2 separate regions of the Mus musculus genome follow, and region 2 is reported to be linked to region 1. Evidence: microRNA targets listed by miRTarBase, many of them from high-throughput screens and not tested one by one. Region 1 holds a microRNA gene; the other region holds the end of a gene's coding sequence.
What was found. The annotated mature microRNA mmu-miR-190a-5p reads UGAUAUGUUUGAUAUAUUAGGU and lies in region 1 at 2,272-2,293, opposite strand. An mRNA with a match to its seed (bases 2 to 7 or 8) in the 3' UTR can be bound and repressed. Matches are read on the target gene's strand: a 7mer-m8 pairs with bases 2 to 8, a 7mer-A1 pairs with bases 2 to 7 and ends in A, and an 8mer does both.

Region 2: miRTarBase lists Serinc1 as a target of mmu-miR-190a-5p. Seed matches in the 3' UTR shown: 7mer-A1 at 582-588.

The regions. Positions count from the first base shown.
Region 1 is chr9:67,234,429-67,238,580 of GRCm38, forward strand. Mir190a (microRNA 190a) reads right to left here and starts at 2,298; the gene lies at 2,232-2,298. The region is part of intron 53 of Tln2 (talin 2); the gene reads right to left.
Region 2 is chr10:57,513,502-57,517,501 of GRCm38, reverse strand. Serinc1 (serine incorporator 1) reads left to right here. Exons shown (of 9, transcript NM_019760.3): 9 at 210-1,728. The coding sequence ends at 345. Among named protein-coding and RNA genes, the nearest start is that of Serinc1, 17 kb to the left of the region's middle.

The sequences.
Region 1 (4,152 bases):
CTGCCTAGCTTCTGGTTTTGACTTGAGAGATGCTTTGGGGAGAAAGTCTTGGCCAAAGCATACCATGGCTACATCAACTTGTGCTCTGAAGGACCAGTGGGTTGGCTGGCTCTAAGACCTCCTTCATCCTTAATAAAGCTAACAAAAGGCAAATCTCCCAGAACAGCTGGTACCCTTCACAGAGGCCTGGTCTCAGGGGAAGCTCAGGGTGACACAGAGAAACCACTGCTGAGCAAGTCATGTTAGTAGCTGGATACGCACCACCTTCACATCCAGATAGATAATAAAGGAATAGGTTCATGTAGCATCCATTGGAAAAGCCCCAAGCCTGCACAGTTAGTATCTTGGGAATAGTTTTTCCCCATATAATACAATTGCTTTATTACATTTTTTGTAACTTATATTCAATATAAAAAGTAATACCACTGAGTTGATCTTATAATTAGTCTCTGATGAAAATAAATTCTTTAGAATTCTGTCATACTCTCAAAAAGGGGAAGAAGGGGTCACTTGGACCTTGATATAGGAAGTATGGACAATAGAAGCCTTTCCATTATTCAATGAGATACAGTTTGGTTCATCTTAGGAATCTCTGGTATGAGCCTTCTATGCATCTAAGGACCTAACAAGGTCCTGGTAGAGAACCACCTGGCAATACACTCTCTGCTTGTCTGGGACCAAGGTCTGGCATGTGAGCTCCAAGCCTGTAGCTTAGCCATGCAGAAAACATGTTTGCTTTCCCATGTCACAGAACACCTGTGTGCCCGTTCCCACTCCCACTCAGAATATGAATCAGCCACATGGGAATGCCAGACAGCAGCAGAGTTACCCCCCATCCCAAATCTCACCACTTCTGGCAAGTGTCTTCATCCGAAAGACCTTTTAGAGCGATGCTTAAAAAAACTACTCGTTCACCAATGGTGGCTTCTACATATTCCCAAGTTCCTTTTCTGACGACCCCCGTCAAACTACTCTCCTGCCCCTGTAGGGTAAGAGGTCTTGCTCATCCACAGTTAGGAGTGCCATCAAGAGTTGTTTCCTCCTAAGGTAAAACCAACAAGGCCTGGGAGCATAGCCATGCTATTTCCAGGAAAAGTACTTATATAGTCTCTGTGCTAGACAGCTCAGAGTAAACTCACATACAGTTCACGGACTCATTTATGGGAAGAAGTCAAAGCAGCCAGAGAGGCTGATATATACCCGAAAGAATGCTTTCTGGGTCATAGCCCAACTTCCTGCGGCAGCCAATTAGAGTATTTGTTTACTTTCGGACTGCCGGGTTCTTCTAAATATTAACAACCTCTGTGCAGAAGTTCACCTACAACAGAAAACTCAACCGACAGAGCACAGTCCCGAGCATGTTCTCTTCATCAGACATATCTGATCCAAATTAAGGTCTGCAATTAAGGTTTACGGGCTCACCATCCGTAAAGTGAGCACAGTCACCAGGGTTTAGATTTGTTACCAGAAGCGGAAAGTTAGAGATAATAAATGTCCCGATTTTTTTTTTGGCATGGAAAACAATTACAAAATTTAATCTGTGAGAGTGTGTTGAGAGTTGTCAGGAAGAAATATCTAGATCAATGTGTTTGCCAGTTACAATCCTAACCTTTGTCCTATATCAAAGACACGGGTTGTTATCTTCCATCTTTTTCCACTGAATACTTTTCTTAAGGACTCCTAATTGCATTCAACTAAACTTTAGAAAATATCTTAAGCCTTCAGGAGCTATACTCCCTTTCCACAACAAACAGATAATGTAGTAGTATTGATACAGTTTGTTGTGGTCTGAAACAAAGCATCCCCCATCCATAATAAGTTAGTGTGTCTGAACATTTGGTCTTCAGCTGGCAGTGCCATTTGGCTATGGAAGCTTTAGGAATTCACAAAGCCTTGCTGAAGGACATACTGGCCTTTGAGGTTTTATGGCCTGGCTCCATCTGCTGTCCTATCTCTCTACTTCCTGACTGCCGGCCTTCCCTCTTTGATGGTCTGGCCCCTGATAAACTAAGCCATAATACACCCTTTTGCCTTAAGTTGCTTTTGGTTGGGGCATCCTGTCACAGCAACAGAAAGGTAACTAAGACACAGGTCTTAAAGGCTACACGAAGAAATGGAATGAAACATAACAACATACGCACTCTGTCATCTAAACCTACTTGTGATTTTTTAATATATTTTTTCCTGTTGCTTCTAAACTTTGTTAGGACCCCCGGAGACAGGGCAAGACACTGTAGGAATATGCTTGATATATAGTTGGATTAAATAACAACCTAATATATCAAACATATCACACAGAGGCCTGCAGAAAAGGCATCCAGGTTTGACTGAGCTTGAGAATATGGCTGTGGGAGTCAGTCACCTCTGCAGTATCTCCCAGCCTGCCTTGGAACACAGGCGTGTCTGTAGGTGTGGCAAGGATGCCATTAGCAACAATGCTGGTGGCACACACTCTGAGCCTGGGCTCCTTTCCCCAAATGAAAAGGGAGTCTGTGCACCTGTCTGTCACTCACGTCTGAGAGATTACAGGTAAAGGGAGGTGCTTCCATGGTCAGGGCCCAAGGGTGGAACTACACCAGAACCATCTTCACATGCCACAGACTAGTCTCCTTTTAAAACAGGTAACCTGAGAACCAGGTAATCAAAACAGCTGGAAGTCATCACCCTCCCTCCCTCCCTCCCCAAACTAGTCCTCCAAGCAGCACAGGTGCTCTGCCTGGGTGGAGGATAACCTCATTCACGTGGTATGGGGGTGGGTGGCCACAGTCACTATGGCAAGTATGCAGGAGCAGCTGCCATTTATGGCACCCTGAGGATTTTTGTCTTTAAGGTTACAGGACAGGATGGAGAAAAGTAACCTCAAATATTAGCTGGTTTTGCTGTTTCGGTAATTTTTTTTCTTTTAAGCCGAGGAAAAGTTCTTTTGTAACTGTCAGGAGGATGTTATGCATTGTGCAAGAAGTTTCCCACGGTGGACGGCCCTCCTTGCAAGCCCGGGGCTACATGCTTTGGGATGATAAGCTGCTTTGAGACACTTTCATGGATAATGCCTAGCAGTGTACACATAAGGGGTCCACACAGGCCGCCTCCGGCAACCATCCCTCATTTTCTTTTCTTAAGATTTACTTATTTATTTTAAGTGAGTACACTGGCACTCTCTTCAGACACACCAGAAGAGGGCATCGGATCCCATCACAGATGGTTGTGAGCCACCATGTGGTTGTTGGGAATTGAACTCGGGACCTCTGGGAGAGCAGTCAGTGCTCTTAACCGCTGAGCCCTCTCTCCAGCCCCCCTCATTTTCAATGTGTGTGGTTTTCAAACATTGTTTTCCAGAACTGTAAAACACAGAGCCTGCCGTTCCCTGGTCCCATTTCAAGTCTTAGCTGTTCTTTGCTGATCATCTCCGTTAGTTCCCAGCTTTGTGACATAAGCACTAACCATGGATGCCTAGGTGTTATCATTTCTCCCCATTTTACTCATTCCATAAGCATCTTCACGCTGTACAGTCTGGCAACCATTACTCTTCATTACTGTAACAGCCTCATCATTTCCCTTCAAGAAGACCCCAACTTCTTACTGCTACCAACCAAGCTTCTAGAACATCCCTCTCACACAAGTCTGGGTTTTTTTCCTTAGGAAAGGAACTGGAGACAAGTCTAACAGCCTAAGACACTATAAAGTGCAGTGGTCCTGAGGGACGGGAATCATTTTCTCTGCCAATGGGGTATCAGAGGGAGTACAGTGTTCAGAAACTGGGACCCCAGCTCTATGTTCCCTCCCCACTCAATCACACGGTCTGACAGTGGTGAGGACCAGATAAAATACTTAGGAGACTGGTCTGGACCGTGTCTTGTATTTACGGTAGCCCTGTCGCCCGCCCTCTTACCCAACTAGGGATCCATGAAAGACCTTATCTTCCACACAAAGATGAAAAATGAAGGTGTCAGAAAGCATATGTCTGGTCATAGTGATGGTGACAGAGGTGATAGCATTACCATTTACTAGTCAGGCACCATGTTCTTACGTTATCGACTTATGCTATAAGAACAATCCTGCAGGATGAAGGAGATCCCAGTAAGTCTGTTTTCCAAATCAAGAATGTTGACGCAAATGAGCAACCAGTCAGAGAAAAACAGACAAGAGCTGAGG
Region 2 (4,000 bases), not on the chromosome of region 1:
GTACAGATTGCATACCTTGCTTCGAACTATGTGAAAGATCTGCTGCAGCAGTATGGAGGGTATGGCAGGACCATCATGATTCCAGGAGCTACTGCACATTATCACAAACTCCATACAAAGGAAGCTTAAATGAAGGGGCCTAGTAGCTTGATAGCTTAGTAACACAAGCCATTAACCTACAATCACTTTGACTTTTCCTCATATTGTAGGTATGAGCCTTCTCGTGAGATGAAAAGTCAGTGGACAGCAGTCTGGGTGAAAATCTCTTCCAGTTGGATTGGCCTTGTGCTGTACGTGTGGACACTAGTGGCACCACTTGTTCTTACAAATCGGGATTTTGACTGAATGGGATGTCTGGCATGAGTCCCACTTTGGCCATTGTCTATTTGACAGTAACAGTATTCCCAATTTTTGTAAAGTTGTATGTGCTGTTGTGTAAGTGTAACACTGTTTTTCTCTTGCATGAAATAGATTTACTCTGCCAATTTTATCCATGTTCTTGCTAAGTCTATTGATGATATGAATTGGAAAGGGAGAATTTTGAATATGGTGAGAAATTGGGAAAAATGGACATTGATAGGCATATCATCTGCTTTGTGTACATATGGTATTAAAACTGAAAACAAATATTCTTGACATTTGGGTTTCAAAATTGTGTTAGCACTTATTTTAGAAACATTAATTAAGTGTATGGCTGCCTTTGAAATACTTGATGTGTTGTTGTTGCCTTACAGAGGACTACAAGTATAAAGCAAATAGCTGTTTTAAAATTATGTAAATAAGTCACAGGCTAGTTATTTGAAAACTCTAAGTCACTTTAATTTTGTCAGAATCTTCTCTTACTAGGTAGGCCCAGGATGTTCCATAGTTAGTGGAAAACAGTACAGGAGGTGGAGGGAAGCTAAGCAATAGACAGGAGCCGTCACAGGAAGTCACTGGCAATACGGGTTTAAAGCAGGTACTTAGATCACGGTTTTCTCTGTAAGAAAATATGGCCGTCACCCCCGCCCACCAAAAAAAAATGATTTGCTCTTTGTGAACACACAATTATGAATTTCATGGCGATGTTAACAATTCTGCATTTAGACAAGGTTTTGCAAAAGATATTGTGTTAGAAAAATTTGAAACTAAAAGCTTCCCAAACAAAATGGGAAACCTTACAGGACATAAAACATTAGGCTCGGGTTAGGCACTAAGATAAAGTCTAGTCCAGTTCTCATTTTAAAAGTCAACTAGCTCTAAAGCTAGTTAGTGACAAAGTTGGATACCAAAAATAGCCAACACTATGACATAAAAACTTTGTGTTCAAAATGTACAATTCACTTTATACATTATTAATAGTAGATAAATTTGTGTAAAATGTATCGCTGCTGTCCAGCATGCTTTTCTTCTTTTTATCCAAACATGAGGCCAGGAGGATAATTAACTTGAGGAATAGACAACTTACATTCACTACATATTTAATCATGCTTAAAATGTTTGTATTTACTGCCATGCAATTGATATAGTAAATCGACTAGAAAATTAGTATGCCACTTAATTAAGATAAAAATGCTTAGTTATTTATGTTAGTATCTAGCTTTTAAAGAACTACATGTGTCTTTAAAAGTATTTATTGTGCAAATGTACTATAGCAGTTCATCTTCATGTTCCAGCCTTACTCTGTGTTAATACTGCTTCACAATTCTGAATGGCTGTGTTCTCTTAAATAAATGCATTCAAAGAAAACGTGTGGTGGTAGCATTACAAATGTAGGTGGCTTTCTTCCTTCCACAGGCCTTTTTTTCCAAAGGTTGTGGCCAGCATTTTTCTCTGGCCAACAATTTGTCTCAGGATTTCTATTGCTGTGATAAAAGTGACCATAAGTCATTGGGAAAGAAAGGTTTATTTCTTCTTACAGTTTGAAGTCCACCATCCAGGGAAGTTAGGGCAGGAACCAATGCAGGGCCTCGGAGGAGTGCTGCTTGTTGGCTTGATGCCTATGACTTGGCCTGCTTATTTTTATAGAGCATTCCAGAACCACAGGCTCAGGGAGTAGGAGGGATGAAAACTACCTCAATTGGCTGGGCTCTCCATCAAGGTGATGTAAGAAACTGGTCATCAGCTTGCCTACTAGCCAGTGTAATTGGAACATTTCCTCAGTTGAGACCTTCTATTCCCAAATGACTCTAGCCTATTTGATAAGATCTTCCTATCCATGAATCACTACATTAACTTTTGATCTCCACAATAGATCACAAGAAGACGTAAGTTTATTTTGGCTCGTAAGTCTGAAGGTTCCAGTACACAATTAAGTGTCCTTATTTCTTTGGAGTGTCAAAGTATCATACCAGTGAGGATCCATAGCAGAGCAAGATTCTGGACTCTCACAATTTACTAGGATTATATAATCTTCAATGGTCTGCCCACACCCATTCCCACCTTCTAAAGTTTCCTGGGAACATGCTGTCTGTCCACATGGGAACATTTGACATCCAGTTCTAGCAGTTGCCAAACTTTGGTATATTTTACTTGTAAATTCTTTATAGAGTTTCTAGAGTGTATAAGCAAGCAATCTCTGTGTGAGAGAGAGAGGCCAGAGAAGGACATTGGAGTTAGTACCTGGAGCTAGTGAACTGCCTGATGAGAACTGAACTCTGGTTTGTAGCCATTACAACTGCTTCTAGCAGCCAAACCTAGACAGTGGATGTCTTGGGTGAATGATTACACATGGGGTGTAAGCTAAGTAGTAAGGAAATAGCTAACTCAAATCCTGGGTTAGTGAAAAGTCATGACATGGGAAATGGCTTGTCTGTAAAATACTACTACTCGTAGCTTGCTTTTACAAACCAAACTTTAACCCGTGACCAACTTAATAATAGACTTTGAGAACATTTAGAACCATACACTCATTCTGATCACTTTAACCAAGCCAGTTTAAGATTAATCTTACTATGCTTTGGTACCCACGGATATGTACCACGTTCCCAATTCTCCCTTTGTGGCCCATTCATCCCTTGAATCAGCATATAATACATGTATATAGGATATGGTGGCTAGACCAAAGATTATTTGCTGGAAGCAACTAGAGATGAAAGCAACACTTAATTATGTGCGGGGGTTTTTTTTTTTCTTCTTCACAAATACATATTTTGTGGAATAAACATTTTCCTCAGAGATCAAAATATTGCATCCTATAGTAGGAAGCTCTTAAGTAGGAAGGAAAACTCAAAATAGCTTCAGGAAGTTCCTGAAACTGACCAGATTCACTAGGCCTGTTCCTGCTAGAGTGAGTACCCAATTAAAAGGGAGTCAAGCTTCGAAGACTATCAGATGAGATAAGCCCCAGCTGCCTGGAAGAAGTAGAAACCTGCTGATTTAATAGGTTTAAATTAACTTGGAGTCACTTGCAAAGAACACTCACTCTCCACCTTATATCTCACATTCTATACTTGCTGGGCTGTTCAATAGTAATGATCTTTATACAGGAGGAAAGATCTGAACTCTTCTCAACAAATCAGGCCCAGACTTGGATTGATGGCACCCAGGGTTACTTTATACATGTCTGTACTTTTCTGATATTTTCGTTTCAGAAAAAGTAAACAAGACCTGATGAATAGAATTTTAATACAGAATTATGAAAGACTTAAAATACTTAATATTTACTATAACAAAATTTATATTGTTTGTGATAGCAAAATCAAAACTGATGCTCAAGAGCCATTATTAAACTTTGAATCTTGTTTATCCCAGTAAAAGAAGTATTTGTGGAAAAAAAACAAACCTTTGTTAAACAACTCAGATAATTCTTTTACCAGTGAGCACTAAAAGCTTTAACAGACCAACCTAAAAAGCTCATAATCAAGATGATTAGTCTAAAGTATGCAGGAGGGATGGGTGGCTCTCCTATAAGCTGATTTTGAAAGCCAAGTCAGTTCCTATTGTGAATGTAATTTTAGAAGGTGTGTACTTCTCCAGTCAAGGAAGGAAGCAAGCCAGTGAAGAAATACAGACTGGAGGA